3 linked regions of the Drosophila melanogaster genome follow. The protein of the gene in region 3 interacts with the protein of the main gene of each other region in a pairwise test. Each region holds a gene or a part of one and is shown on either strand. Other genes may lie near its edges.

Region 1 (9,940 bases), on a different chromosome or scaffold from region 3:
TTAACATCCGATTATCAGACGTACTTTTGTTATCGCAAAACCCCAAAAGTTTGGGATAACTTAAGTATTACTGGGTGGGTATAATACGGTATTTGCGAATTGAAAATTTTGACCTTTTATGAAAGAGGCATTAATAATAAGAAACCCTTTATAATTTCTCCTAAGCTTAAGTAAACTACGATGTTACTTTCCGTACATTTTTAATTTATATGAAAATCTTAATTCATATATATTTTTTGGATGCGAAAAAAAAAATAACTAATGGAACAATTTCAAATGTTTGTGTTTTATTTTGAACTTAGCGGGCAGCAAGAACGGTATTGGAAATAGTGCGTGGAAAGTAAATGTGTGCTATTTCTCTCTTTTCAAATTGGGCGCGAAATTTCGAAATTGGAATTGAAACATGCTAAATAAGCTTATTTGTTTCCGAATTTATGGAAAAATCGCTTTTCAAGATATCCATACCAATTGTTATGATTTTGTTCACACATAAACTATTGGAATACTTTGAAAACAATTGTTGCTTCTATTTTTAACGACAGTTCCATCAATACTTTTTGGCAACTGATACCTTATTAAAAAACTGACTGTTTTTTCTAAATTCTTACAAATATATTAAGGGATTATGTATAATCCCTTTTCTGCCAAGAACTATATTTTTAAAGAGCACCACAGAGTGGACTTCAGTGTAATTTTCTGCTTGTTGACGCAATTAGTTGAGATAGGCAGAGAATTAATCAAACGCTGGTACTCGAGAATAATAATGGACGCTAGCCCATGCGAATTGAGATTCGTATGCGGGATGCGGATTCAGATACCGGCTGGCGTTGTCAGACATCGTCAGGCCCGTGCCCAACAAAAATAGCCAGGGCATACATTTGGGCTTGCGGCCGCGATGAGAAGCGATGGCTAGCGGCCAATTGAATCGAGGCGGACCGCAAGACTCCCAACCAAGAACAATGCGCATTCTTCATTGTTCGTTCAATTGAGCAACGTGCTCTGGCTAATTTTGCACTCGAAATAAGAGAAACGCAGCTAACATGATTCAGTCGGGGGTCCACAAAAAGAAGCCAAGGATTCGGAATCGCCAGCGCAACAAGATCAACCAGGTGCCACAGGATCAAGGGGAATCTCCAGACGCAATTGCGTCTTCACTCAAAAGTAATGGCTCAAAAGCGGCAAATGGTGTAGAAAGTAAACCTCCGGTGGAAAAGCCCTTACTTACAAGTGGAAATTCTCTGCTTGAATCATTATCAAAAATTGGTCAAGTGGAAAATCCGCAAGAGAACGATACAATCCGGCTGATACAGCAACTGTTACGTAGGAAATTATTGGCCAAAAATAGTGCTGTGCCATCCAGCGAAAATAAGCCATCAACTGATCCGGTCAAAATAGTTACCCAACCAAAGGAAATCAAAAGTGAAGAAAAGAAACCAAAGATTTCGAGTACCTCGGTTACTCCAAAACTCAAAACAGAAGCCAAGGCATCTGGAATTTCAAAAGAAGAGGAAATAAATGATCTACTCAAATGCTTGGGCAGCAAACTGCCAAAGGGTAATTAGATAATCATTAGGAAGTATATACAATTCAACATAACTAAAATATGCTTGATAGGATCTGGTGAATCCCCAGCAGCCGCGTTATTCAGCAATCTTGGAAAGCTTTTCAGCCAAGCGCCGCCCAGCGATGTCGAGTCATCCGATGAGGAAGTGGAGGAGTATGTGGAGTACATCTATAAGCCAAGGCAATATTTTATGGCCTCACTGTGCAATGTAGGTAGTATTCATTACAAACTGTGCTTAATTGCTGAAGGGACTATAGTTTAAAACTTCTACATTTGTATACCCTACACTCCTAAAGGAAAAGGGCATAATAGATTCGTTGAAAAGTATGTAACAGGTAAAATGGTTTCTTGCCAGTTTCTATCGATATGCTCATTAATGGTGGCATTCCCGCTAGATGAGTAATGGGTATCTGATAGTCGAGGAAGTTGGCTATAGCGTACTCTCCTATTTCTATATACAAATGTAAAGGGCGCATTAATAAGATTTTTTTACAATTTTATTTTACTAAGCCTTTTATAATACTTGCAGTTCTGCAAGTCGGATCTGTGCGGCCAGAATCGGATACCCTGCTCCCGCTGTGGACTGAGCTACTACTGCAGCAGTGGGCACATGAAAGACGACCAGGAGCACCGCCAGCTGTGCTACGCCCTGCGCCAGACGGTGGACCGCAATGGTGAGTGTCTTTCGGCGATTCACAAATTCATAAATCACACTAATTGCCAATTTTGGATGGGGCGGATGCAGGTCACGAGATGTTCTACAAGTGCGGCGACTTCAGTGACGAACAGTTCCGTTCCTTCCGGATCGTGTGCATTCGCCAGGTGGAGAAGGAGATGAATCGTCAGCTCAGCGCAACGGAGAGAGAGTTGCTCCTATTTCCACTGATCTGCGCCGACTCAAAGTGCCGGGAGCATCGCTTTAAACGTCTATCCATGTGCGGTGGATGTGGCGAGGTGGCTTTCTGCAAGGATAAGCCGGAGCACCGAGGCAAGGAGCACGCCAAGTGGTGTGGAGCCTATCAGATTTTCAAGGCCTTCATCATGTTTCAGGAACAGTTCGGCCGCATGGAGCCATCACTGCCCAGTAAGATTCTTAGAGAGCTGCCCATGGCTTGCTCCAACACCAAGCAGATGATGAAGAAGCTAAGCTTTAGTAAGTAAACACGAAGTATTCAAGGATTTTATTATAATGTATTATTATACTGATTTAAAGATGTTACCAATGAGTGTGAGTACGCAGCACTTACCCAGGTGTCCACTGGCCCATTAACTGCCTGGTTTGCCTTGAAACTTTGCGAGCGCCTCAGAAACTGCGAGGAGATGACTCTTCACTTAATTGGAGCCGAGATCGAATTTGAGGCGGATATGCTGCAGAAATGGGAACTCTTCCTGCTCCACATAACGCCAGCGGTGAAAACTCTGAATGTGGTCTTTGTTGGACCTGAACTTAATCCTAATAATATATCCTTTGAACAGCTAAAGAAAATCAAGTGAGTTACACTTTTAGTTAGTAGTTTAAACATTAGTCTAAAGATTATCAATCTATTTAGATGCTGCCGTTTCTGCAGAAAAGCCCAGAGAACGGTTAACTATCATTTTGAGAATAGTTTATATCACGATTACTGCAGAGAATCGCACTTTCTTCAGCCGAATTTGAGTAAGTTAACACTCATTTAAGCGAAACTAATAATAATTATTATACATAAATTCATAGTTTGCTTCTTTAACTGCGGTCTGTACCGATCAACTGGTTTCGCTCTGGAGGATACTTGGCCAGATACCATTCAAGCTGCACTCAATCTCAACTGCCCCATCGTAGTTACTTCCTATACAAAATACGAGGCCCCTTTGGATATGATTCAATTTATTAACCAATCGAATCGACACTTAAATGTCGTAATGCCGCCAACTGTAAATCCGTTTTCCTCGGAAAAGCCAGAACGTAATTTTATATCAGATAATGAAGCGTCTTTTATGTTTAAGAACTTTTACTGTTTTGTTGTTGATTAATCGCAGTCCACACCTTAGTTTTTTTTTAATAAAAAGACAAATATCGAACAATTCTGATTTGGACAAGGTCAATTATTTAGTAAAGCCTGGTACAATTCTAAAAGTTTAAAAAATTTGTATTATAATTTGGTTTTTTAGACATAGCCATAGACACATGAACAATAATAAAATTATTATATTGAAATATTCGGTAACTTCTTTTCGGTTGCAGTACATACCTGGTAAAATCTATGAATTTTCATAAAAAATATAAAATTTTGTTCAGCTTTTATATTTTATTTTGAATGTAACGTTTTTTCTGGGCAATCGATGTTATTTTTCATACTGATTTCGATACATTTGCGTTCGATAATAAAATACTAAAACAAATTTTCGATTGATTTCCTTGCTGAGGTGTGATGGTCACTTTCGATAACCGATATATTTAAGGAAATATCGGTTGAAGTCCGGTTTTGTTTTGATTTGATTGAATAGCATTGTTTTCATTGCGCATTTTCTGAAATTTAGGGCATTTAGGAGAAAACTTGTGATTTTTTTGCTGTTATTAGTGTTTTCCCATGAATATCAACGATGGTGACTTTAAAGACCTCCGCTGCAAACTGGACATCATGGGTTTCACACAGACGCTGCCCGTTTTGGCCATTCCACTGGTTCAGGTAATATTCATACCCTGTAATATTAATTTTTTGGCATAATCCTGTACCTTTTACATTGCAGGCTGTTTTCGGGGACCTAATCAAGACCACAGAATGTTTGAGGGATACCAAGAAAAAGGTGGCCGAGCTGCTGGAGGTGGGTATACCAGTAGAGAGTACAAGACCTTTGGGTTTTCTCGATTATATATGTGTAACTATAATATTATCACAATTTCTTACTGAAGAGATTCAGGTTGGTGCTGTTAAGATAAAAAAGAATTTGTCAATCTAAATATGATTATAATTGTGAGGATCCCATGAGAAACTTCTTTTCAGTATTCTTATTCTATATACGCCAAATATGCTTCATTTTTAAGGGCAGACTATACAATTCAATTGAATCCCTAAAATTAAGCGTGAAATACTTGCAAGGATATTTACACGTTAGCTTTTTAAGCCCACGTTCTTTCTTATATGTTGTGGTTTTTCAATTGGTTGCTAAGCAATCCTTCTGTTGTGGCTTTCCTTTCGGCAGGAAAAGACCTGTTGGGAGCTGGGCGTCGAACCCTACAAGTGTGACAACTCTCGCCTGCTGGCCGAGTGCAATGAACTGCATCTCCAGTTTTTGAGGGACAGGGAGGACTACGAGCTGCGCCTGTGTGGTATGTTGTAATCGATTTTAATTTGATTTTTAACTCTATTGCTGCCTTAAACTTTTTCAGAGTCCGAGCGAAAGATCCGAAATCTGGAGTTGGACAAGCAGCATTTGCAGAGTCACAACGATGGACTTCAAAGGCAACTGGACGCTTTGCTTACCAAGCAAATGGTTTCATCAGTCACGAACAAAAAGGCGACAGCTGGCATTGGACGTCAGAGTAGGTCTAAGAAAGATATTTAACTAGAATTGGATCTCCCTGAGATACTATCTCTATCTGATTCACGTTGGTTTTATTAAAATGTTCTGCTTTCCAGCCAAAAAACCCTTTATAACCACAGTGCGTTCGGGCATTGCGATGCCAACTACACTGGGCACTAGCAGCAGTGCTCTTAAATGCACAAAATGCAATGCTGGGGTATTCCAGAAGACCACCACAACGACCAAAGACGGTGTGACAGTGACGCAAACCAGTGGACAGGAGGAGTTAGACAAGATGCAGAATGATCTTACGGCAGCCGGAGAACAACTGGAGTTCTTCAAGCGCAAAGTGGAGGCCAGAAATCGGGAGATTCGCCGCTTAAACGACATGCTAGCAGGAGGGCGTCCTTTAGCGGCTTTGGCCAAGGATTGCTGTTACAAGGACGTGGGCGCCCTCTCCCAGGACATCGATCTGTTGCAACGCGAGAAGAGCGATTTAATGATGCAAGTTCGAGAATTCCAGGACAAGATGCACGATGCTATGCAGCGGGCTCTAAGCTCCGAAGAGGATAAAATAAAGCTCCAAACGCAGCTGGAGGAGCTCAAGGAAGCTGCGTTGCAAGTGGAACAGCAGGCCAATGCGGAAATCGATGCCAAGGAATCGGAACTTAGGCAACTGCAGTTGGAGCTTAAGAAGAAGGGAAAGGATCACCGACTGACCGGTGGCTTTGCTTCCAATCAAAGTGACAAGCATAATCTTAATGAACGCTTAAATCTTTTGACTCGTCGTGAAGAGGAACTACAGGCCACAAATGAAAAGCATAAGAAGAAAATTCAGAAAATGCAAGCAAAGATATTAGAACTGCAGAAGGAGCTCAAAGATCAGAATAAACATTCCAACGTCACCCTGGATGAAGAGAAAATACGCCTGTCATCAGAGCGGGACTTCTTCCAGAAGGAGTATCTGCGTCTGATGAGCAAGACCGGATCCGAGTCGGAGATCGCCTTCTTGCATGCCCAAATTAAATCTAAGGACGAGGAGTTAAAGGCCCTGCGATCTGAACTGTTTCATGGAGGAAAGCAGCAATTTTCCCCACAAAAAAGTGTGCAGTATGAGACACTGCCGCCCCCCACAGCTTCATCCATTACCTCCACCGTTACTAGCAATACGAGTGACTGCGTCCAGGCGGCCATTGCAAGGGTGGAGCGGGAACGGGATTGCGCCAGGACCGAGCTAGAAAGGGTTCGTTGCGAGCGGGATACGCTGAGGGAGAAGCAACTGAGCACTGTTCAACTTCATGCCGATGAGCTACAGGCTCTGCGCCTGCGAAACGAAGAGCTTAACGATCGCCTGCGGCAAATGGAACGCGATAATCGGGAACTTAACTCGGCTCGTCTGCCAACTGAAACGAATCTGGTGCTGCTTAAGGAGGACTTGTTGCAAATGAGGCAGCGTGTGGCATCTATGCAAACCGAAATTGACCAACTAAAGACCGAAAATGATCAAATAACGTTAGTAACAATGGAATTGCTGCTAAGCTTTCATATCGTTTATAAATTTGTTATTTATTTATTGGCAGCATGCTCAACGATCAAAACGAGCGCATCATAGCGGATTATCAGAGTAAACTTTTGGTGGCCGAGCGTCAACGACAGTCGGCGGATGTTCGGGCCAGCACCTTGGACTCCAGTCGGGAATCCAATCGCAGCGAGGTTACCCAACTCCGCATGGACTTAGGAGCTCTGCGGCAGACCTATATATCGTTAGAACACGAGAAGGATACGCTTCTGGTAACTTCATTTAATAATATATTTTCTAGAGATATTAACAATATTGTTATTTGCTTCACTAGCATCAATTGGATACCAAAACTGAGCGGGTATACAAACTGGAGTATGAGCTAAAGGATTGCAAAGAAAAACGGAATGCCCTAGAGCAGAATGTGAAGGACCTGGAGGATCAATTGCGGTAAGTGTGAGAATTGTTTAGTTTGTGCTTCAGAACCCGATACCAAAGAGTTTCAGAATAATTGACCTATTTACAACTCAATTTTTCTGCTAAAATGAAAAATATGTTATATTTCATTTCTAGACTCTATATTGTTAGTCTTTCAAATTCTTTTATTTCCCTTATCGTGATTTTCCTTAAATACAACTCGTACATTAGTCGATGTAATACATTAATGGCACTGTCTCATCCTATCGAACACGTTAACCGAATATTTCTAAAAACCACCTAAAAGAGAACAAAATGGTTAATTGAATAACAAATGATCGCATCGATCAATAAACACTGAGCATGCAAACACAAAAACAAAGGGTAATGGAGGTAATATAGGGTAAATTAGGTGGGCATGCGGTGAAAGAAGAATAAAAGTCATCACAACCGGACAGAAAATAGCTTGAAGATTGGGGATTTTAGGTGGTCCCACCAAGGTGCAGATCATTGAGAAACTTCGAGTTGAGTCGCTCGTTGGTTAAATACCTCGCCAGGCTGACACTTGGAGCGCTGCAGTTGCTCATGCCGCGTTGATCCGACTCCGAGGGCGTATAACCCGGTCGGCAGACGCACTTGGCCCGACTGGCGTGGACCAAAATTGAGGTGCCATTCGTGGTTTGCGATTTCAGTGGCTCTAGCCACTGACCCGCGCCGCAGGGTCCTCGGCTATACAGCTTGTGGCACTGCCCATTGATCTCCACCATTCCGGGCGTGGACTCGCATATATTCTGTTCCTTATCCGCTCCATCTCCCGTGCACTGCTGATCCAGATTGGTGAGGACACCGGAACAACCGCACATTCCATTGTAGGAGATGCCATCGATGGATGGCCTGGCGGTGAAGTCGAAGATCACCACCTGATGTAGGGCACACGGGCCTTGAGATCCAATCCTGTAGCAAGAATCTTCCGCTGGGAAGTACAGGCGATTCTTGCCACAGAAGTTGCGCACACAGCTGGTTCCGTTGACCAGGAACTCATTGGGTCCACAGGGACCCCTTGTGTACAGGCGATAGCAGATGCCATCGCTCCAGGGCACATAGCCCTCCTTGCACTGGCACTGGGCACGAGGCAAAAGCTGCAGGGTGCTGCCCGTTGTCTCCTGGACCTCGTCGGGTATGCGAAAGATGTGACCAGGTGGACAGGGGCCAGGAGTGTCTGAAAAATAGGAGAACATTAAATACGATATAGGAGAAAATTATGTTGAGATAGAATTTCAACATTTCCAAGGCGGTAATTGCAAATTAACGGGCTATGTAATCCCAATCCTACCCAGCTCATAGCACATTTGATGCGGAGCATGATAGTGCGGCAAGTGCCGCTGGCAGTCGCATCGACCGCCGGGCAAGAAGATGTGACCCGGCGTCGAGCAGGGTCCTTTGGTGTAGTGCTCATAGCAAGACTCCTCTGCCGGATAGTAGAACGAGGCCAAGTCGCCCACATCCTCGCAACGGCACTCGGCCAGTCCCTCCTCGTTGCGAACGAGGAGTTTACCCCGGCTGCATGGACCCTTTGCATGCCTCGCATAGCACTTGTTGTCCCTCGGCCAGAAGAGCATGTCCTCCGGGCAATGCAGCGGTCGCTTGCACGTACCCCAACGGTTGCCGGTTGCGGTTCTGGAAAGGATTTGCCTATAGTTTAGTTAACTTTTAAACATTTAATTGATATATACGGCACACATCATCCTATATCAATGATCGCCTTGAAGTGAGAAAGTCTGATAGATAATTGTTGATATCACATGAACTGTTAAGATTACTTCATTTTATTTTGAGAAGACATTAGACTTAAACAAAATTACCTGCGCTAGAAACACACACATCGGAAACAATGTCGGCTGATACTTTCGTAATGGACACCAAGGATGAATCGTTCTACGAGTGTAACATATGTCTAGACACCGCCCAGAATGCCGTGGTCAGCATGTGTGGCCATTTGTTTTGCTGGCCATGTCTGTACCAATGGATATTGACGAAACCCGATCACACAGTGTGTCCCGTTTGCAAGTCGGGCGTGGATAGGAGCAAAGTAATACCGGTGTACGCACGAAATGATAAAAGGCAGGAGGATCCGCGGGATAAAACACCGCCGCGTCCAACTGGAATTTGGTCGGATTACGCAAATGATCTCGAGTTGGGACTATTTTCGTACTTGCTTTTTGGTTTATTCTTTCCATATGGTGCCCTATCATCTTATCTGGATATGGACGAGCCACTCAATCCTGCTGCTGATCACGGCATAAGGGATGGGCAGAACGAAACACTCCTTTCTAAGTTCTTTCTCTACGTGGCCATTATGCTCATTATTTATATGATTGTAATTTAGCAAGAATAGGAATAAGATCAAAATAAACCATGATGGTGCAAATGAATCAGTATAACCGGGAAGATGTCGTCCTTTACAAATTATGTTCAGTGAAGTTTTCGGATAATTAGTCATTAATCTTTTTAGTATTGTGTAGCATTATGTAAAACAAATGTAATGAAAAGTAAATATTCAAATGCACTAGGAAACAAAACTGCATTTCATGTTTTAAACACGACAGGTTGTGTCGTAAAAGTAAAAACTGTATGTGAATGTACATACATAGGTTCTTGATGAACTTTCGTTATGCATAAAAACGAGATATCAAAGTAGAATGCTTCCGTTATTGCTTAAGTGCACCAGAACTTTCTCTTAACTCTTGATTAATGTTGAAACCCGAGTTTCGCAATCGAAATCAAAAGTTTCATACGACTAGAGAACAACCTGTAAACCTTCAGTGAAGTGAAAATGCGAACATGGCAGTTGCTTAATTCAAATAGTTTGAGCTAAGAACCGAACTCAACTCACCTCTTGACCTGATCCGGCACGGGTTGGAAGTACTCCTCGGGTTGGC
Region 2 (10,152 bases), about 15 Mb from region 3:
TACGATTTACCCAATCATAGGTATATTAATATTGTTAAACAAATAAACGCAGAACAAACACTATCTTCGAATTCCAACATAAGCCATTATATGGGCAAATCGGAATCGGAAAGAGATGGAAACAGGAAATCGTGAGCCGATATATGTAGCTATCTCTTGCGATTTGCTGCAGTTCCCGCCAAAACAATAATGGATTCGTTTAAATTCTGATCTAGACATATATTCTATACGTAAGTTAAATAAATGTAAAACAAGTAGAATGTGTGTATATAAGATATTTTAACGTTTTTAGGGCAGTCGAGCAATTTCCAGTTGTAACATGTACGTGGCTAGCAACTCATCCGCGTTACGATTTCTACCTGCTGGCGGTGCCACTTGGGATGGGGCTTCCTCCGCCAGCTGCCGGCACGCTTGGAGCTACATTGGAAGTCGGAAGGGTATTAGTCGAGCCCGCTTCTTCGTATCGCGTTAGCTTTGCCTCCTGATCGGCCAGCAGTTCGAGCAAATCTTCTTGATCCTTTTGCATCGCCGCCAGGGAATCTTGCGCCGCATCTGCACTCTGTTTTTCGGCTGATAACTGCTGACGTAGTGTCTCCAGCTCCTTAGTTAGACGAATGTTTTCGGCAAAGTACATGTTGGCCTGGTAGCGAGCGGCATTTAGCTCCTCCTCGTTGGGCGGCGTGGCTTCCGCACCTTGGGCGGACTGCACCTGACCGGTCGAGGCTCCCAGCTGTGCCTTAAGCAGCGTGTTCTGGTCCAAGAGCTGCGCCTTGAGCGACTGCTCCTCACCAAGTTTCTCCTTCAGCTCGGCATTCTCCTGTTCCAGTTCTTTGGAGGATTGCTGCAGTGCTTGGATCTGGGCATCCATGCCGCGGATAATCCCCTTGTACTGGGAAACCAATGCAGAAGCTTCCGAGCTCAACGTGAGTTCGGTCAGTTCAATGCCATCTACATCAAATCCGCTAACCAGCTTGGCAATCAACGCCTCCAGTCCCTTGTACAGCTTGCAATACTCGAAGTCAAGCAGTAGTTCCCCAGCGGATTTGGCACGGATCTGGGCCTGCTTGCATGCCCGACTGTAGGCCTCATGTCGCGACACTTCTGCTAGTTTGCTACAGAAGCTCTCCTGGCCAATTCGCTTGATGATCAGCTGACTGATGTCCTCGCGCTTCTGCCCCGGCAGCGAGTTGTCATTGAACTGGATGCACAGGCCCATTAGGAATGCGCACATGCCCTGGACAAGGAACTCTCGTTCATCGTGCTCGTTGGAGCAAAGTTGAGCGGTCAGGTAGGCCATGGTGCCCTGCGTTTCCAGCAAAGCCTTCACCGCACCTGGACAATGCGCCAGCCACAGGCTGAGTAGCATTAGCAGACCCACCTTGCTTTGCAAACGGTAGCGTTCCTGCTGCATGAGATTAGTGCACTGCTCGAGTAGCGTGATAGGCTTTTGGCCACCAGGAGTGGCCAGCAGTACGCGCAGTAGTTCCTCCTTTAGGGCGACATTCTCTACGAGTGAGTGCATTAGGGCCACAGCGGAGAACCAGTTGGCAAGCGCATCTGTGGAGAAGAGTCCGGTGCAAAGGAGTTGTCCCGTCGAAAGGGCACTCACATCGGACGCACTGGAGGGCAGCAGGGTCTGTACAACCGCCCGCTGGCCATCGGCATTGCGATAAAGAAAGCACTCGAAACAGTAGAGTACGGCGCAACGCAGTGCCAGCAGTTGTTTCTCATTGATCATGGACATAAGAAGGACCACGATGGCAGGTCTGGGTGGACTGCTCGGAGCCATAACTCTTCCCAATTCATCCTGGTTGTCCCGATCGCCGCGCACCACTTCGGCCACTGCATTGATGGTTTCCGTGAGTATATCCGCAGGGACACCACTGCTCATCAGAATCTCGCAAAGAGCATGGAGCAGTCGAGACTTTTGCATGACCCGCTGGCAGGCGGCCACCACCTGCTGTTGATTACTGGGCGTGACCAGTGCCCGCACCACCTGCAGCAGACAATGGAAGTTTGAGACCTTCTGTGGCGACCAGCCAACCTCTTCCGCATCCTGTGAGAGCTCAAACATTGGCGACAATCGCTGGATATAGCTGCCCTCCTTAAAGAACTGCTGATTACTGGAGTTGTTCTTGAGAAGATTCAATAGCAGAATTAGGCAATCCTCCACAACAATTCCGCCATCCGAACAGCCCTCCTCACGGACAATTTCAAAAAGGCGGTCAAAGGCATTCTCAAAGGCCACAATCTTTTGGATGTTTGAGTTGCCCTTGGTCAGTTCGATAAGCAGCAGAAGGACATCGTTGCGAATCACTTCGCGGCTGTCCGTCAGCAGATCCATCAGCTTGGAAACGCCCATCGGACTGACCAGAATCAAATCCTGCAGCTCCCGCGTCTTGTTCGAAATGAGGGACGTAATCAGTTGGATGGCAGCGCGACGCACTCGAAAATCGTATTCGTCCAGATAGCCCATTACCAGGGTTACATGCTCCGGTGTCTTGATGAACATCTCCGTGAACTGCTCGCCCACATTCACCGAAACGGTGGGATTATCAGCCTCCTCGTCGAACTCCTCGCTAGTAACCACGTTGCACAGTGTGTCCAGCGCATAGCTGATGATCTCTGCATCCTGTCCGTCGTTCTGGAGCACCTGGACCAGCGGAGGCATGCCCTGTGCGCCCACCTCGATGCGGTACTTGCGGGACAGGGCTTTTAGCGCTCGGCAGGCATCCCGTCGATCCTCCAGGAGCGTTGAGGAGTAGACACGGTCCACCAGCTTCTCCACCGTCTCGGCGGCACTCGGCTGCTGACCCGGCTCCGTGCTGCCCAGCACCGTTTTGATGCCACTCTTCAGGAACTCCATGCGAGTGTGTGTTTACGGTCTATTCTGGGTTTTTTCGCATTCAACAAGACACGTCAATTCATGAAAACAATTGACGGGCGGCTTAGCGATGGCTAAAGTCCGATAGACGCCCACTTATCGATAAGCGGCTTGTCTTTAAATATATTAAATATATTTTTAGAATTACAATTTACCATATTTGACCATGTTTGTGTAATTACCTATATTTACACTTTTTTGATAATCTAAAACTTTTTTTTGAATTACATAAAATATTGCTACTTTCTAGCTGACGTCGGGACTTAAGCTGAGTGGCATCCCTGTCGGCGATAGTCTTACTGCCAAAATTTTATTAAACTAAAAACGACTCGACAGCCCTGGTGCTATCGATGCTATAAGTAAGTTGAAAACAAAACTAATTTAGCAAATTTGTGTTTAAAACTAAACGAGAGAATCCCAAAAAATACAATATAAAGCGTTCCACACACGCGGCGTAAGAAGTTCTCAAAAATATCAACACAGTTATCACGACGCTGGGAGAAATCACTCGTTTTTATTACGTAATGCGGCAAAATGTCAACCCATAACATAACAATCCCCACATCAATTTGTGTAAATCATATGTAAATCTCGCCATCTCCTGTGCTTGTCTTGCAGACCTATGGGCAGTGGGATTGTGGTTCAATTGGCTCGAAAGTACGGCGCAGTGATATTCTTTCCCACTGTTGCAGTCGGATCGATTTACGCAGATTGGTCGCACACCCGCCAGTGGAAACGCCAGCAGCTCCAGTTGGCACACCGAGCCCAGCTGAAGGATCAGCGCTAAGAGGATACACAAATATACACCATGGTCTTGGGACTGGATAAGCGAGCACTGTGGGGCGCGTTGCCCCTGCTGGGATTTGCCATTGGCCACTTCCTGGACAAGAAGGAAACGGAACGTATGACCATGTTCCGGGACAAGAGTGCCCTATACGGCCGTCCCGCCGGCAGCGAGGGTAAGGCGCCATCCTGGTAGGCCTGCCCAACATCGCCATCCCAAAATATTATTTTTTTTCCCCCAATTCACTGTTATTCAATAAACCGGAGAAATGTGAAATACGCCTGTCGTCTAGTTTACCTGCATGGCCAGCGGACGAGATTTGCGGTCGGGAACGTGATTTATTTGTGAAGGATTGCGTACCATTGTTTGTTTTACTCAGGAAAAACATAAAAACCTCAACACACGTCTAACGATAAGCCGAAAACCAATGAAAAATCCAAGGAGATAACTCGTTTTTCGAAGGATTTTACCTGGGCATCGCTGCACGATATGCGAGTTCTGCTTAGTTCGGATCAGGGGCGTAGGCTGGATATTTTAGAAGAGCATTGGTGTATTCTACCAAAACTCTTATTATTTATTGTAGAACTTCTTGAGCATGTCACATAAATCACTTGAAATGTGGTAACCGAGAGTAGTCTTTTTAAATGAGTTTCGTTAAATGGCATTGAATTATCTAATACATGTGAATCGAGATTTTTAAGAATTAATAGAAAAAAAAAACTTTTATAAGCATGAGCCCCCTAAAAACTTTCATTTGCACGACCATGCCTATATGTACTATGTAACTGCTTCCAGTAAAAACCGTTAGACAGAATGGATAATCGCTCACTTCAAATATGAAATATGAAATCCGATAAGGACATTTCCACTTTAACAAACAAGGCAGCAAATTGAAATGCCAATGGAACAAAACTAATTTATTTTTATGGCTCAGGGCTAGGGGTTTGTACTCGGTTTTGGATTCCGGTTTAAGATCGGTTTTGGGCTCGAGTTCCAAAATTGAGCGTGATGAATCGCTGGAATTGTGTTCTTGGGCGTGCTGCCCCTCTCTAGACCATTGTTTCCAATGGTCAGTAGTTTGTACACAGGCGCAGTGGGATCAAATGGAACGGATTTTCCAGATTTTCGCCTTTCAAGGGCTTTCTCTCTCTCACAGCGGGGGAGAGCGTGAGCGAGAGGGTGAGATGCCAGAGATTTGCAAGTGGATACCGTTGAACTGTGGTTGGGAGCGAGAGGGTAATAGCACGATCTTTGTTCCTGGAAGGAAACGAGAGATCCAGACGTGCAACAATAACATAACAGTGCTGGTGTCTCTCGGCGGGAAAATAGCCAAATTGGGCATTAGCATGCAGGTGCGAAAGGGTTTTATGGAGAGGTTATTTATATGAAGGTCAGGTTGAAATGACTGCTATCAATTTTAATCGGTAGTTGTCTTGTATATTGGTTTTTAAATAGTTTTGTATTTTAATCCATATTACAATTTCTTAATTTAATGATGAAATAGCTATTTGTTTATGTATGTAATTATATCATTAGATTGCATATTTGCAAAATGTATTTTGTAAAAATTACAAATCTAGCTTGTTTTTAGAATATTCATTCTTCCGCCCTATTTAGCGGGGTAGCGGCACTACTTAAACCTCTCTCTCGCGCACTTGTTGTTGCTCTCTCTCCCGTTCTTGCAGGTAGCAATGAGAATTCCAGAAATCCTGCATCCCAAAAACCAGTCTCAAATCGTGTTTGGGTTTTGTAGCAAGCGGATCATTTGTAATCGGCGGCGGAATACCCAAAATACCCAAAGAGTAAAAAAAAGACTTAAGGCAAAATGAGCGGAGAGGAATCTGCCGGCATGGACTTTTCGCAAAAGACCCTGCAGGATTACGAGGTTTTGGCCGTGATGGGGAATGGATCCTTCGGCACCTGCTACAAGGTGCGCGACAAAAGCACCGGTGAATTGTTCGCCTGGAAGGGAATGAACTACGATGAACTGGACGAGGCCAAGTGCGACGCTTTGGTTTCGGAAATCAGTGTTCTGCGGCAGCTCCAGCATCCTAACATTGTGCAATACTACCATCATCTGGTGAACCGAGAGGCCAAGTCGGTGTACATTGTTATGGAGTGCTGTGCCGGCGGCGATCTCGCCCAGATTGTCCAGCGAGCGAGATCCCAGAGGCAGCGGTTTGAGGAGCCCTACATCTGGCGGGTGCTCTTCCAACTTTGCCGGGCGCTTCAGGTGTGCCACAACAAAATCCCCAACGGAACCATCTTGCATCGCGATATCAAGCCAGCAAATATTTTCCTGGATGCGGCCGGGAATGCCAAACTGGGAGATTTCGGTCTGGCCAGAATGCTGCGACGAGATCAGAGCTTTGCCGCCTCCTTTGTGGGCACTCCGCACTACATGAGTCCGGAGTTGGTGAAGGGCAGGAAATACGATCGGAAGAGCGATGTCTGGGCCGTTGGTTGTTTGGTATACGAGATGTGTGCCCTAAGACCGCCGTTTCGCGGCAGAGCCTTTGACCAGTTGTCCGAGAAGATCGCCCAGGGTGAGTTCAGTCGGATTCCGGCAATCTATAGTACTGATCTGCAGGAGATCATCGCCTTCATGCTGGCAGTGGATCATGAACAGCGTCCTGGCATCGAGGTTATCATTCGGCATCCTCTGGTGGTGCGTAATATTAGCGAGTTGGATGGCAAGTTCCCAATTCTAGTTGATTCTGGAGAGGATTTCTACACACTGCCTTCGGGTGCCAGGCTTTTCGAGGACGAAGAGGAAGATGGAGTTCATCCAGAGCTATCGAGCACCATGTTTACGGAACAGTACAGCTTCAATGAAGGCTATGGGCAAAGGAGACTCAGCGTTACTGGTGTGTTTACTCCAGATTTGCGAAGTGAACTCTTCTACTCCGCCAAGCGCAAAATCTTTCCTGCCAAGAAACTACAGCTGTCGGATCCCTCTCTTTATGAAAGTATAAGGAGAGAGGAGCGAGCGGAGGAGAGGCAGGTGGAACTGGCGGAAGAGCGGCGCCGTAAAAAGGATCAGGAGCAGCAGAAAAGGGATCAGGAGCTTCTAAAGGAGGCCCCTAGCAGTCCTCGTGCTCTTACCCAAAACATATTCGATGAAGTACTAAAGACCCGTCTCCACGCCATTCGTGCCCAAGAATCCCTGTTGCAGCAGAAGCTCGAAGAGCTGCAGACCCGGGAGCAGGAGTTACAGCTGGCCGAACAGCGCGTGCAAACGCTGGAGCGGCAGATGCAGGAAAAACTTCTTCAGCAGGAGAAACACACTTGTAGTTGCAGACAGCCGATAGCTCCGCCCATTCCTCCTAGGAAGCCAGCGAAATCGCACCATGATGACACCTACTGCACTATCGAACTCAACGAGACGTCGCCCACGGTGGCTAAACTCAATTTAGCCACACTTCCGGCACCAAAATCGCTAAATACTCTGCGTAAGGTTACCTTCAAGTCGCCCCAAAAGTTTGTTACCTATGGTATCGAGAATATGCCCCCACCGGCGGTTAAACCGGCAGTGAATCCTCCGCCCACTGGCGTTCCCATGCAAATGAGCGTATCCAGCAATGATTCCGGTGACAGCCAGGCCTCCTCCACCCGCAGGAAATCTATACTCTCGCTTTTCGGGTTGAGTCGCGGATCCAAGGCGACATCCAAATCCTTGCCATCGGTCAACCAGGTAGCCCAAGCAGCTGCAACTCGCGTGCAGCGACCTCCTTTGGCCGTCAAGCCACCGATCACGCAGGAACAGCCGGCAGAAGTTCCACCAGTGGCCAATCTCTGGACAAAGGAGCAGAAGAAACAAGCCTTCGAGCTGCTGGCGGCCATGAATGCAGCCGAGAGGGAGGCAAGCGGAGGTGGAGTCGTTGGTTCTGGACCCGGAGGAGCACGTCGCCAGCATCTGCGGCAATCGGTGAGGGAACGGAATTCCACGCTGCAGCGGAACCGCATGCGGAGGTCTTTGGTGGTGGCCACTGGCCATCAGAAGCTAACAACGCGCGACCAGATGGTGATCTGATCAAATTGATCAGGAAAGATGTGCAGTCCAGGAGCCATGGCAACCATGGAGACTATGAGCGTTGTGATGTGGAATAAGTTCCGAAATATTTACATTTTTTTTATGCAAAAATTTTTTTGAATGCCATATTTTAAACACGTATTATTAGCATTAAGATTCCAGTTTTTTCAGCTGCCATTCATTGTGCAATTTGCATTAGTCTTAAAATAAATATTGATGAAATGAGATACATTTGTGTTTAAAATTTCAATTTTCGTGTTTTTATTTATTGTTGTTCGCTTGTAACCGTTAAGTTCAATTTACGCATTTTCAGTGCTGGGTATTGTAAAAAGAATATATAAACTTAGCATTGCATCTTTACAGCGTAGTTTTCAAGCAATATACTTAAAACAGCAAAAATTAAAAATTACATTTAAAGAATGCTAACTAATAGAAAATTACCAGTCGCTTTAATCTTATTTAACAGTTGCCAACACTTTTACCGCGCCAGCTGTTGCCTATCGATAGACCGATTACCGGTTTGTTACGCAAGCAACAGGTCTGGCGTGATTTCTGATTGGATTCTTGCCATTTACCTGTGTGATTGCTGTGCTAGTTAATACAAATTAATTAAATTCCAAGATGTCCGCCCGACTGCTGCAGGCCACGCGTCGCTGGAGCGCCCATCGCAACTACAGCTCCAAAATCGCCGAAGTTGTGGTGGTTTCGGCAGCCCGCACACCAATTGGCAGCTTCCAAAGTCAATTGGCCCCACTGACGGCTACCCAATTGGGAGCCCGTGCCATCGAGGCGGCCATCGAAAAGGCCGGAATTGCGAAGACCGATGTCCAGGAGGTGATTATGGGCAATGTGGTATCTGCTGGTCTGGGACAGGCCCCCGCCCGTCAGGCTGCCATCTTCGCCGGACTGCCCACCAATGTATGCTGCACCACGGTGAACAAGGTGTGCTCGTCGGGCATGAAGGCCGTTATGCTGGGCGCCCAATCCCTGATGCTCGGCTATGCTGATGTGGTCGTTGCCGGCGGTATGGAGTCCATGTCGAATGTTCCCTACTATCTGAAGAGGGGAGCCACGCCCTATGGCGGCGTCAATCTCACCGACGGCATTGTTTTCGATGGCCTCTGGGATGTGTACAACAAGTTCCACATGGGCAACTGTGCCGAAAATACGGCCAAAAAACTGGAGATCACACGTCAGCAGCAGGATGACTTTGCCATTGAATCATACAAGAGATCGGCTGCCGCGTGGGCCAACAAGGTGTTCCAGGACGAGATTGCCCCGGTGAAGATTCAGCAGAAGAGGAAGCCGGAGATCGTCATCTCAGAGGATGAGGAGTACAAGCGGGTGAATTTTGACAAGTTTGGACAGTTGGCCACCGTTTTCCAAAGGGAAAATGGCACTGTGACAGCCGGAAATGCATCCACCTTGAATGATGGCGGTGCCGCCGTGGTTTTGATGAGTGCCGAGGCAGCCCAGAAGGCGGGCATTAAGCCGCTGGCCAGGATTGTGGCCTTCCAGGATGCGGAGACCGATCCCATTGACTTCCCCATTGCCCCAGCTCTGGCCATTCCCAAATTACTGAAGCGTGCCGGCGTTCGCAAGGAAGACGTGGCCATGTGGGAGGTCAATGAGGCCTTCTCCCTGGTCGTTTTGGCCAATATCAAGAAACTGGATGTGGATCCAGCCAAGGTTAATGTTCATGGAGGTGCCGTGTCAATTGGCCATCCAATCGGCATGTCCGGAGCCCGTCTGGTGGCCCATCTTTCGCACAGCCTGAAGAAGGGCGAGCTGGGATGCGCCTCCATTTGCAATGGCGGCGGTGGAGCCTCCTCCATTCTCATCGAGAAGCTGTAAAGGTCACCTGGCGGACCTGCTCTCAACCAGAAATGCATTTACTACTGATCCATCGAGATTATTGTGGAAAGCTCTATGTTTTTTTTTAAATTGTTAAGTGTCTTGATTGCGCGTGGCCGCATTTAACGAACTATTGTGATTTGCATAATAAAATTATGAAACAGTCAATAATTATTATATGTATATCAAATCAGTGTTCTTCCATGACGGTAATAGGGTTCAAAGTCTAAACATCTTATATTTGTTCTGTGAAAAAAATGAATTAAGTGCTGAAAATGTTCTTTATTGTTGAATTTATATATATATATATATATGCCTATAAATTCACCATTTAATATATACCTAAAAAAATGATAATTTCGGCATTTAAGGATATTATACCCGTTACTCGTAAAGTAAAAGCATTAGCATTCTCTCTTGTTTTCATAATTTATTTAGTAATAATAAGTAAAATATTTTGTTCAGAGCCCTGCTCGTCTGGAGGCCAGAAGTTCGCATATGAAGACGACCAGCGACAGGAGATATAGTCCTGCGGTCAGGATGTAGACCGCCCACAGATCCGGCTGTCGGATGCGCTTCTCCCGGTACAGGAACCGA
Region 3 (12,495 bases):
ATGGCTACATCGACTCGACTATTGATCCTGATCAAGAAGAATATATATACTTTATATCGTCAGAAACACTTCTTCACGACTCACCCCTGTGCTCGATCTTCAGCAGCTTGAAGGTGTACTTGGTGGAGACTAGTGCGGAGACGACCAGGATGGTCAGTACCAGCGTTGATCCGGATATAAGGTGACCGAGCACTGCGAGGGTGCCCAAGCAACCGCTGCTGGCCAAGCAGAACATGCTGGGACTGCGGTGGCGCCAGTCGTCGATCCTCTGCAGCCAGGTGTTGATCTTGCCGCGCAGCTCGTCCGTAGGCACAACGCGGAAGCTGCAGCGCGTCCAGTAGATCCAGTAGCCAAGTAGTCCCAGGAATAGCACGCCCAGCGGTCGGGCCCTGGAAAGATCACAGCGCACGCCGAGGTGGTAGACTTTTAGCGGATATATGTATTTATAGCCGATGACAGATATGGCCGAACTACAAGAGACAAAGGCTCAACAACTACTGCCGGAGATAGCCCGAAAACTCGATGATGTCTATTGCGTTTGGAAATGTTTAGGGCAATAATTAATGACCGCTAGCTACTGGCGAAACATGTTCTAGCAGGAAGCATAAGCGTACCCAGTTTAACTCCCAAAGATGAAGCAAAAAGCTGGTCAGACCTGGTTGGTCGACCGAGCAACGTTTTTTCGGACATTTTGTTTCCATTTCACGTCAAAACGTTTCTACAGTGCGTATCTGGACTGTAAGGCCAACGCACGGCAAAAAGCAAAGTCAGTTCACAGCTCTTTTGCCTTCGATCGTTAAGAATAATTATTGAGAATATGTGTCTATATATAGTCTATTTTACACCAACGGATGGGAAATTAATTTGAACTCATCTGTAAAGTCAATTCTAGAATTTCTTGCAATTGTAATCAGCGGAGTTTATAAGACCTTATTATTTACGAACCCCAAAATGTATTTACAATAACGTTTGTTGCGTTTTTATTAAAATACCAAATTAATGGCGAGGGCATGATTTATTTGGTTTCTCGCTTATACTACTGAATCTGCTGCCGCCAACAAGTTGTGCAAAATGAAAAATAAGTAATAATAAGTAAACGTTTAGCAAATTCCAGATAGCTGACGAAGGCAATGATCGCCCCGTCGATCGGGGTTCCCATCTGCGGATATTCAGTTTCTGCCTCTTATCGAAAGTATCGAGCTACGCGCCACCACCAACACCAAAAAAAAAAAAAAAAAAAAAAAAAGAGGGCTCACTGTAGCAGTAGTTGGGCAGACAATATCAGCTGACTGATAAATTATTCAAGCAGCGCTCGGTTTTAAATAACAGGAACTTGAAATTTTTGTTTTTTGTTTTCATTTGACTTTGCTGTGCCCTAGTGTTTGTTTGTTTGTTTTTTTTTTTCCTTTTCCTCGCCCTGCGAATCGCTGACGACTTGTTTTGCTCTTGAAAAGCGTCTAATTAATTATCTCGCTGTTTCTCTGCTAATTCGCACTTTGGATTGATGTTGATGGGAGGGGGCGGTGCATTGGAACTTAGGCGGCAAGTTTTTCGAGTGGTGGTCAGTGGTTTTTCGGCACAGCCAGCGCATGTGTCGCAGTGGACACTCATGACACTGCTGCTATTGTTGCCTTCCAATCGTTTTTACCTTCCTGTACTTTTGTTTAGTAACTGTGGCTGAGAGCTATTGGGGCACAAGTGAAGCGGCTAAAAAGCAGAAAGCAAATATAGAGCAATTGTCGGGTTTAGATACGGACACGGAGAGCATTTAATGTATCACGGTTAATAGGTTGGGCAGATTGGTAGAAATATTTTATTATATGAAATGCTTGGGCTATACAATGTGCATAGCCCGTTTCCTAAACAGTGACCGGAAATAGTAACAAATGGTTGCAAAGAACTCAGCTCAATAGCAGCTCAAGATAATAACATTATTTGCACAGACAAGTATCATTTCATTCGGAGTGCTCTATCCTTTCGAATCACAGTGTGAATCGATTGGACTGAATTTCACAAGGACAAATCCATCCTGCAAATACGTTAGCCGAAATTATTCGCCGTATAGAGTTGTATCTGCGAAACGGCTGCGTGCATTCATGATGTGTATTTAATTTTATTCTGTTTTGGTTAATTGCGCCACACAGAACGCTTTAAATGGGCGGAGGAGTGGTCGGTGTGCATGGGCATGGAGTGACATTTTTATGTACAAGTGAGTATTTATATAAAGCAAGGACGGCGCAACGGGGCGAAGGGTGGGGCCTTTCAGTCAGCTAAAACGAAGGTGCAAGCACGTACAAAAGATCGCCGGCATACACACAGCAACCAACAGCGGAGCCTAAGTCAATAGAACTGATTTATAATCAGCGGAATTGAACGGAAATTGATACACTTTTTATCAGTTTAACAAGTGCGCAAACAAGTTATAATACTACTTTTAAAAATTGCCCAGTCTGATAAATAAACAGTAATCACGTTTAGTTTCACAAGTTGTGGATATTACAAAAAAAAAAAATGCATTTTTGTAGTTTTAATAAAAGAATAAATAAATAGGAACTAAAGAAAGGACCACAAACCACAAAATGCTAATTTCGGGCGCTTTTTAAATGTGTGCTTCACGGTCTTGGCCATAGCTGTATTTGGATGGCCATGTGCATGCACATGAGCTTCATTTCGGTGCGCTTTTACATACATACATATGTGGAACAATCTTTGTGTGCACACACATATATTCCGAAAATAAAACATTGCAACTTTCAGTTCGAAATTGGCCACGCAAAGAGGTTCTTTCTTTCTTTCCTACCTACAGCTCCACAATTTGTCTTGTGTGACCGACCATACGATTTTACACAGTATATTTTACATATTCACTTTGCTGCGCAGCTTTCTTTCAATGGGAACGAGACTGAATTGGCTGGGAAGAAATTCGGACCCGCTCGACCCAATTAAAATGTACATCATTTAGTGCGTAAATATACGCACTACGTGTCGCTATTTATTGAGATTACTGCCCTAATTAAAACCCGCCGACAATTGTTAACTTTTAACAGAAATCAGATTACAACTATGGACATTCATCCAATGTACCTGTTTCACATTTTCCAAAAACGGACGGACTCCCCGTAATGCCTACAAATTTTATTGTTTTTTATTTGTTGTCTTATTCCTCAAATTTAAACGCCGCACGTTTCAAACTTATCGATCAACGAAAATTGCCACTTTTACCAGTAATTAAGTACTAAGAACTATCTTGCCAATAAACTCTGATTGTGCCTATCTACTGAATTGAAAACTATAGTTTTAAATATGGGCTTAGAAGGGTCTTAAGATTCCCCTTTTTTTTTTGATACGAGGTCAGTTTTCTAGGAAAGCTGGATCAATTAATGGCAAAATTCTGGATGGATTGTTACTTCGACTTACCATGACATTAGGACGACTGTGACAACGGCTGCCGCTATGCAGTGGAACGTGGATCTTGACGGACGGGGCAGGACTTGGAACATTTTGTATGGGAGTAGCACCAAGATAGCACTTTGGAATCGCTTTTGTGGGTTGTGATTTCGATTTTCAGCTCCCGCGGTTGGCGGACTGATTTCCTTTCCGCTCCGCGATTTTAGGCGACTTCCGGTTCCCTTTCGCTGTCAAGTTTCGCTTGTTGTACGACACAATTACTTTACCGTTATGCCAGGTTCTGGGTCAGCTGTGCGCATGGGCAGAGTAACTGTTTTCGGTTTGCTCTCTTTGCTTTCGTCCTTCCCCTCTTTTATACCATCACTATGATTGCTCTTTGTTGAAAATCCGCGACTACTGCGTAGAAAATAAAATAACAATATTTATATGTAACTGTTGCATGAGCATTATTTCGGATACATGGCAATTTACCAAAATGTTTTTGTCATGTTTTTCTGGCTTTTGAGGCCCTGTCTCACTCACACAAGCGCACTTGTTTTCACAAACGTATACCGATTAAGAACAAAAAAAAACTCCGTAGTTCAGCATGGAAAAGGTGTCATTGGAACTGCGACTTTTCCACCAGTGATTAACCATTTAATTCGAAATACTTATTTCATCAACTTATTCCCTTGTTTTTCATAATTTATTGTCGCCGCCGTTGCTGTTGTTGTTGCTGTTTGCTGCTTGGCTTACCGGCTGTGTGCGAGTGAGACAGCAATGCAGCGTGGGAGAGGACGAAAGCAAGCATGTGGAAGAGAAACAGAGAGCGAAGCGCGTGGAAAAGTTGTAATAATAATAATAAGAACGGAGCCAAACACTAACGCCCAACTGAGCAGCAACAACAGCAACTACAGCCATACAAAACGTAAAAAACACCAAGTTGTTTGGCCTTCGATGTCTTTTTCAATTGCGTCGCAGAATGAAACACAAAAAAAAAAACAATACAGAAACACCACACTCAGCGTGTGTATGCATATGTACACATATATGTGCGAAACTTTGCGCTTTTTGTTTTTGTTTTCCTTACACTTTTACCGTATTTTTATAAAGGAAAGGGGCTAGGAATAAAGTTAGGGGTAAAAATTACTTGTATTCTACTTAAAAAACAAAGCTGATACTGTTGAAAAAAAATTGCACTCCCATCTCACGCACACACACACGACTGCATCTACAATGCAACTTTAAAGAGAGAAATCTGGAGCAATATAAACCGCAAATAGTTCATATTTGAAGTACAAACTCAGTTTTGCGGACGTTCTTTGCAAAAACGGTTTTAGATCGTTTTGTAACTAGATAACACACACACATAACATATGCAAACAGAAGTTACGAACACAACATATCGACAAGCTGTAATAGAACTCGCATACTTTTCGCTATAGCTGGTGACTTTCGAAAATATTATGTTGACTCCCGAATTCCAGGCAAATTCGATCGCGCCAGAGCAACAATCAGCGCAAAAAAACACATCCAGTGAATGTGACCGCGCGCACGGCGAAGGAAAATACCATCCGGCGCAAATCAAATACCAAAATGTACCACACCAGTTTCGATAACCACCTAGTAAACTGTTGAATTCGGCCAGCTGTTTCAAATTAGTTTGTTAAGAACCAATAAAAGTTAAGTTTTCGCAGACAATGTTTCTTTAATTTTGACAAGATTTTGAAGCATACGAAATATACAATATAAGTTCCTGAACACTAATTTAATCCACCGTTTTCTTTACTATAATTCTGGAAGGACTGAAAACTTGTTCCTCTGCTAATCTGTGGAGTCCTCAAATTTTCTCTAAAAACGCTACTTCCAAAAGTCCGGTTATCGATATCTGACGTCAGGGCTGCATGGACTTCGTGTGAGTTTTGAATTGCCGTTTGAAAATAAATGTTTTCCCCAGCATTAAAGCAGCATTTCTCATTGGCTCTTGATGGTAGCTGCGATCCACGGTAGAAACATTGAATACAAAACTCTCAACGATTCGGGATATCATTTGATTGATGTAATGAACTCTTCAGAGGTTTCCTAATTTTTGGCGGGAAGTCGAGGGCTCCCTAGTGCCATCGTCATCTCTAATGGCAACTAAAACATAGCAGACATTTAATGAACTTTCACAAAACACCTAGATTCAGCTGACCTCTGAGAAGGCTTCCTGACATTTCGACGTCCCAACAAAAATTCCCAGTAGCAAAACACCAATGGATGCGACGTGGTGAGTGGGTCTTGGGATTTTATGAATCCCGGTTGCTTACGGGCTTCTAATTACTGATTTTGCTCAATCTAATGCTTCTCCAATTAAGCAGGGCAATGGAGCAGCTGCTGTCTGCAGTTGAGATGGGAGGTAGCCACAGCGAGGCCACCACACCAACGGCCACGACCACCATATCGATCTGGAGCGCCCCCTCCGAGGGCAGTGGCTCTAGTTCCATGGACCCTGTCTCCTTTCGGTTCCACTTGGACGGGCAGCCTATACTGCCACCGCTGGTGATTTAAATTCTTGGTCAGGGAGTGGCATTTACTGAGGCGTAACCATTTTACTTTGTTCCAGATGACGAGCGCCAAGAAGCGCGAGGTGCAGCTGGCCCGCCAGATGGCAGAAGCGCTGGAGAAGCGGTACCGCCTGGCCAGACACTCGGCGGGATCCGACATGGCCAGTAGGAGAAGTGTGTCACAGCTGCAGCAGACAGAAACGTTAATCTATGACAGCACACGGGGCCAGGCTCGTCCTCAGACTCTGGTCTTTGGCAAACAGTTGCCCACCATACAGGTGGATCCTCCCACGCCTCAACCATTTGTGAAATCAATAGAAAACACTTCCCCAAGGCGGCATAATCGCATTACCGATCGTATCCTGCAGTTCGAGCAGTCGGGACTGGGTAAGCTGCTGCCCAAAGTTCCAGATAAGTGTATCCTGCGCACAAGTCCTGCGGTAGCCGAAGACCAGCAGGATCAGGATACAAAGGACACAACGGCAAGGGAGCTCGGCAGTCCACTGGCAGAACCAGCTAATTTTCAGCGTTCGAGAAGTTTCACACTAGAGGAGCCCTCCCAGGTTCTCGTGGAGCACATGGAGAGGGAGGCCCTGGCTGTGAAACCCAGCCAGAGTTTGGCCAACTTCGAGAAGCAGACCATCGAGTCTCAGGCCAAGCGGGTGAACCGTAGTGCAAGGAGTATTAGCAGCAAAATTAGCCACAACAGCTACAATAGCAACAGTAGCGCCGCAACCAAGAGCACCATCGCCACTAAAACCACAACCGCCGGCAGCAGCTGTTCTAGGCGGGATCGCGAGGTGGAGCGTATAATAGAACGGGCGCTGGACGAGCATGGCGCTTTGGAAGCCAGCCGCAAGGCAGGAGTGCGCAACTATCTGCGTGGCCATCGGGAGCGAATGAATCAATTGGTCATTCACCAGGAGAAGGAACGTCGTCGCATGCAGGCCGAGTTTGATCATCAGCAGCGTCAGCTCATAGAGGAACTGTGTGCCGAAATTGATGTTTCCTCGGCCACCGAAAATCCTGACAGTCTGATATCGCAAAGCACCAGTACGGGAGACCTGCAGCGTTTTTCCCCCTCGCCTACGTTACCCTCCTTTTCAGAGGACATAGAAGACTTTCCGACGATGGAAGACAAGTGCCAAATTGCGGGGCCTTCTTCCGCTCGCAAGAGGCTGTTTAGTCCAAAACCATCAAAGGACTCGGAACCGCAGCTGCTCAGTGCCCCCAGCACACCGCGATCGTTGCCCCTCCGGAACAGCAGCTTAACCAATAGCAGACGAAGTGTCCAAGTTGTCCGGCGCCGATCGCAATCTGTGGGCGGTAGTCTAGTAAAAACAATCACCGCAGCAGACCGCGAGGTGAAGAAATCGCCAGCGAAGCCTGGAGGTGGAGCAGGACGACCGAAAAGTTCCCCGGGAAAAAATAGCTCCATTATAGCGAAAAGGGGAAGCGCCCCACCAAAAAGCGCCTCACCGACCAAGCGGCTGGGCAATGTAAGTTTTTCAAGCGAATCTGAGCGATATTTTATTTGCTTTAAGTCACAAAGGTTTTCATTTGTGCCAACCTAAGTTAGCAGCTAATTTGGTTGGACTCTTACTTTAAATCTCTGCTATTTGACCTTTCCTTTTATTTAACTAAAGCATTAACGATTTTTTATTTATGGTCCTCTATTTTTATACCCGTTACTCTTAGAGTAAAAGGGTATACTAGATTCGTTGAATAGTATGCTACAGGCAGAATGAATCGTTTCCGACCATATAAAGTATATATATTCTTGATCAGGATCTATAGCCGAGTCGGTCCGGCCATATCCGTCTGTTCGTATGAACGTCAAAATCTCAGGAACTATAAAAGCTTGAATATATGTTGGATATTTTTCACAATTTTATTAGACATGTACATTTCTATTGACATTTTTAATTAATTTTTAAATTTTTTCTCATTTTATTCCCAATTTTGTATCGATATCCCAGAAAAATTATGATGAAATTTCTAGTTTGCATATCCACTAGCTGAGTAACGGGTATCTGATAGCATTCTTTTTTGCTTTATATTGATATTGATATTGATATTCTTAGCATAATCACTTAATATAATAATTAGGTATTTTATCCCTAAAAAAGTGAAAACCTTGGCGATATAATCTGTAATATCTATTTCCTGTACTCCCATTCTATTATTTCCTCTTCCCCAACACAAACAGCGCAAGAAGCCCTAGCAATTCGGGTAGTCAGTTATGCAAGTGCCTTAACAAAGACTGCGAGGAAATCGAGGGACCAAGCCTCTAGCACCAGTAGCTAACCTAATTACTAACCCAACTAGCAAGTGCCTTCGTTCCCTGTTTAATTTCGCCTCTAATCCCTGCCAGAAATATGTCGAGCTGAAACAGGAAGAGCGCCAGTGGGCGGCCACACGTATTAATGCCGGTGTGCGAGGATTTTTGGTCCGCCGGCTTTTTGCAACCGAGCAAGTGCAGCGCATTGTCCAAACCATCAGAGACACCCTGATCTTCGTGTTGAACCTGCACCTGGAAACTTGTGGACATGGCCTGGATGCAGAGGAGCCTGCAAACTTGCGCCTCAAGGCGCGATTGCTTCAACAGGTGGGTTACTTGGTTACTTGTCTAGGTGTAAAAGGTGCCAAATGTGTACATTAGGCTTGGATGATAAAACTAGAAATTAATTATTATCTGAGTGAAGGGTATGCGATAGTCAAAAAACTCGACTGCAGTGTTACCTACTGTGCTTACATTGACTTTGGTTTAACTTTGAGTAAGCAAAACCAAAACTACTGGTATTTTAGAATAATTAATGCGATTTTATATAAATATTTGATTTGAAATTGCCTTGTTTGCAAACTTAATACAAGCTGACTACTTTTTCCTTTATATTCATTGAATTAACTCATAGCTCTGCTCCGCCAGTCGTACCCTGCACCTGATCTTCTTCCAGACCAACATAAAGGACCGCATGGAGATCATCGCTCGGGATCGCCAGAGGATCAAGACCAAACTACTCCTCAAACATCGCCGATTGGATTAGGATTTCATAGGTTAGATTGCTCGAATAAAGGAGGAAACGATAAACGAAGCATTCTTGTTTTAACTAAACACATTTTTATTAAGTTTAAGTTTTCTGGTTCCACTTTCTCTCTATACATTTTTACATTTTTGTACCCTTTTTGTACTCTACGAGTAAATGGGTATACTATATTCGTTGAAAAGTATGTAACAGATAGAAGAAAGCGTTTCCCATTATAAAAAGTATATATATTCTTGATCAGGATCGCTAGACGAGTCGATCTGGCCACGTCCGTCTGTCATTACGTCCGTATGAACGTCAGGATCTCAGAAACTATACAGGCTAGAATGTTCAGATTTATCATGCAGCTTCCAGAGACATAGACGCGATTTGCCAAAAAACTCTGCCACGCCCACTCTAACGCCTAAAAACAGCCAAAAGCTGTCAAGCCCACACTTTTGAAAAATGTTTTGTTTTTTCTACGTTTTTTTGCTTGTTTTGCCCATTTCTATCGATATATAATAAAAAAAAACTCCCAAAACGGCGTTTGGCCCACAGCGCCCACAACTCGAACCATTTACATATATATTTTTTCTCATTTTATTTCCCAACTTTGCGTTGGCATATTCATTAGCTGAGTAACGGGTATCTGATAGCCGACTATAGCAATCTCTCTTGTTATTATTTAATTTGTATTATGGAATATATATATTTGAGCTGAAATGGAAGAAAATATGTATATGTTAATACTTAAATATTAAGTATATTTTTAAATATTAAATATTAAAAAAATATTAAAATAATATAAAATTTAATGGGTAGATTCGGTAGTATCCTTAACTACATACACAAATTAATTCTTACGATTAATAAGCAATTCTAACAAACAAATATACATACTAGTCGCAATATTGAACTGAAATACATTTATATACTTATTTTTGGTTATATCTCTCTATTATCTTTTTAATACCTTTTAATACCTTTTCTTTCTTGATTTACAGAACAGCTGTTTGGCAAAAGCCCGCGTGATTTTTTGCAGCCAAGCTTTCAAGACATTGCGGAGCTTTCTAGACAAATTCGCCCTGAAAGCTGCGGCGGATTGCCAAAACAAACGGAACTTTTAAAGCGAGTAGTCGTGTGTGCGTGTGATGGCCTTAAAAGAAAACAGCAAAGGCAGACAAATAATCAAAAGCGAGAGAAAACTAGTTTAATAACAATTAATTATTAGTGAGCACGTAACCCACAGCAATTGGCCGACCTCCCGCTCATCCTGTTATTCACCCAGCTGCCCGCGTGCCTTGCCCACCCAATTCCATAATTCCGCCGGCGGCGAATTTAGAACGACACACCAAATTGAAAAAATAATAATACAAATAATAAAACCACACCAATAACAGATTTCGTAACTCGTAAATCGAAGGACAGTGAGAGAAAAAATCGTTAACAAAAATATAAGCGCACACTTATATTTTTAACACGCGGCAAAGTTGCGTGCGTGGGGGTGAGAGTGAAAAATGTAAAAACAGAATACGAAAAACGTTTCCCAGTGTTGTTGTTTGCTCCTTGTTTTGTTTGGATAACTCGCACTAACACCAACACAAAGGATTACCATGTCCTACACCGAGTTGGAATCAGGGTACCAGGATATATCCCAGCAGCATCAGCAGCAAAATCCGCATCAAAGTCAGCCGCAGCAGCGGGTCGGTTTCTACTTGGGATTACAGGATGGCAACGTATGCGCTCCACCGTTTTACCACTAAAATCTAGCGTAACCCACTAAAACACATAATTTTTTTTATTTGCATACTATATGTGCTATACATGCACGTATTTATTTTTAAAACAAGTCAAATCGATTTTTATTTAATTTTAAATAGTGTTTTATAAGAATGTGAAATATAAAATTATGAGCATTGAAAAAGTATTTAAACCTGGTGTTATAATCTAGCTGACTTCGACTGTAGATTTTTACATGCGGAGAGCTGACCCTGACTTTTTGCGGCTTTTTGCAGTGGAGCTTTTTCTCTTCCTCCGCCTCCTACTAAATTCTTCTCATTCCTTTGCTTCTTCCCAACAGCTGACTGTTCAATGTCAATGCCAAAAGCTTTTGCTCTCGGCTCTTTTACTCGTTTTCTAATGTGTGTTTGTGTGTGTGGTTTTGGAATAAACATAATTTACATCCCTTGAGCACCCTTCCAGCGAAGAGATAACCAAACAACAGTCCAAAGAGTAATGAGCAACAGCATCGATAAATTCGTGGCAGGGAGAGTGGCGTTTTGGCGGACGTCGCTGGCTGACGCACGTAAGCTTCACTCCAAATGTGGGCGGTGCGTTGCGGTCTACACTCGAAAAAATAATATAAACAAAACTGCCCCCAAACTGTTTAAAAATAACTAGGAATATTACAAAATCTTTGAGAGAGGAAATTTAAAAACAAGCAACTGGGAAATAAAATAACAAATGTCTTAGAATATTATGAATTTGATAAAATAATGAATAATAATAATAAAAATCGAATTTTTGAAATTTGAAAGCTGGAGAGTTGGTCTGCCCACCGATAAAGTTTTTTTTGCCCACGTCCAGTTTTCGAGATCTGAATTTTCAAAAAGTTCGAAAATTGAAAATGAAAATTTTTTTAAGTCGCAATTAGATAGTTGGCGTTGTGAATAGCCACCACAACGATGAAAAAAGTAAACATTTTTTTTTATAATATTTAGTTATAAGAGATGGGCAAACGCTTTATTTTCTGAGTAGACCGAGATTAACCTGAATGTCTTATATTTTCTAACGTATACATTTTTCAAAATTCTAAAGGATGGGCAAACGGGTTATTGCAATTAAAAAAAATTATGAAAAAAGTAAACTTTTTGATTTTCGAAAATTGTCGAACTTTTACTACAAATTCAGATGTCGAAAACTGGACTGGGCAAACATGGACAAACGATTCCAGCTTTCAAGTTTCAAAAATTCGATTTTTTCGACGCCAGCTTCTTTGAGCTCAAATCCTAAAGAGCAGAATTAGATTTACAAACATAAATCGGAATGTAGTGTAATTTTCTCTCAGTGCACTGTTTATTTTTGTGCGTAGATCCCACATTTACTATCTGTTATCCCTTTTCTCCCGCCCATCCGCTGCTCTTCTTACCGCCCGCGAAAATCCAGAGACAGACGTCAGCGAGTTGGAGCCGCGCTCCTCATCGTTTTCCCATCCGGTGATTCGTCGGTTTTGCACTTGTTTTCATTTCTTTAATGTTGCGCTATTTTGCTCGCTAGGTAACTGGTTTTAAACAATCTACATTTTTTGGTTACCGTTACGCTTTGATTGTTTAAGCAATTGGTGGGCGCGCTGTGTTCTAATTACGTTTTCGGTTTCTTGGCTGCATTAATTAATTACCCGGTTATGCCATTTGTTTGCTTAATTTGTTTGCTTTTGGCTTCCGACTACGTCTGGAATCTCGAGTAGCTCCGACGAGGGACCACTTGCATTCTCAGATTCGTAGACCAGGTTCGACTTTCAAGCGGAGTGGTTTTAG

What was found.
Region 1: the proteins of Cp110 (region 3) and Cep135 interact in a two-hybrid assay, tested with the Drosophila melanogaster proteins (one study listed by BioGRID).
Region 2: the proteins of Cp110 (region 3) and Nek2 interact in a two-hybrid assay, tested with the Drosophila melanogaster proteins (one study listed by BioGRID).

What each region holds. Positions count from the first base shown.
Region 1 is NT_037436.4:15,112,730-15,122,669, forward strand, and holds the start of Cep135 (centrosomal protein 135kDa), read left to right. Parts: upstream 1-4,007; 5' UTR 4,008-4,131; coding exon 4,132-4,230; intron 4,231-4,291; coding exon 4,292-4,366; intron 4,367-4,744; coding exon 4,745-4,871; intron 4,872-4,931; coding exon 4,932-5,084; intron 5,085-5,181; coding exon 5,182-6,577; intron 6,578-6,645; coding exon 6,646-6,856; intron 6,857-6,918; coding exon 6,919-7,034; intron 7,035-7,148; exon of another isoform or gene 7,149-7,276; coding exon of another isoform or gene 7,277-7,301; exon of another isoform or gene 7,302-7,483; coding exon of another isoform or gene 7,484-8,220; intron 8,221-8,334; coding exon of another isoform or gene 8,335-8,678; intron 8,679-8,842; exon of another isoform or gene 8,843-8,892; coding exon of another isoform or gene 8,893-9,387; exon of another isoform or gene 9,388-9,572; intron 9,573-9,894; coding exon of another isoform or gene 9,895-9,940. Other genes in the region: CG13458 (uncharacterized protein), read left to right, coding at 1,041-1,554, 1,615-1,772, 2,094-2,238, 2,310-2,717, 2,778-3,054, 3,115-3,221, 3,279-3,574; CG16959 (uncharacterized protein), read right to left, coding at 7,484-8,220, 8,335-8,678, 9,895-9,940; CG32847 (uncharacterized protein), read left to right, coding at 8,893-9,387.
Region 2 is NC_004354.4:7,886,841-7,896,992, reverse strand, and holds Nek2 (Nek2), read left to right. Parts: upstream 1-5,346; 5' UTR 5,347-5,493; coding exon 5,494-7,701; 3' UTR 7,702-7,927; downstream 7,928-10,152. Other genes in the region: p115, read right to left, coding at 356-2,866; CG45089 (uncharacterized protein), read left to right, coding at 3,507-3,671; ND-MNLL (NADH dehydrogenase (ubiquinone) MNLL subunit), read left to right, coding at 3,693-3,863; Acat1 (Acetyl-CoA acetyltransferase 1), read left to right, coding at 8,323-9,555.
Region 3 is NC_004354.4:22,477,095-22,489,589, forward strand, and holds Cp110 (centriolar coiled coil protein 110kDa), read left to right. Parts: upstream 1-5,300; 5' UTR 5,301-5,446; exon of another isoform or gene 5,447-5,570; 5' UTR 5,571-5,642; coding exon 5,643-5,656; intron 5,657-5,744; coding exon of another isoform or gene 5,745-5,747; coding exon 5,748-5,928; intron 5,929-5,992; coding exon 5,993-7,432; intron 7,433-8,142; coding exon of another isoform or gene 8,143-8,157; exon of another isoform or gene 8,158-8,307; coding exon 8,308-8,541; exon of another isoform or gene 8,542-8,652; intron 8,653-8,848; coding exon 8,849-8,980; 3' UTR 8,981-8,990; exon of another isoform or gene 8,991-9,026; intron 9,027-9,963; 3' UTR 9,964-10,364; downstream 10,365-12,495. Other genes in the region: CG12576 (uncharacterized protein), read right to left, coding at 85-389, 3,418-3,500; l(1)G0196 (lethal (1) G0196), read left to right, coding at 10,573-10,695.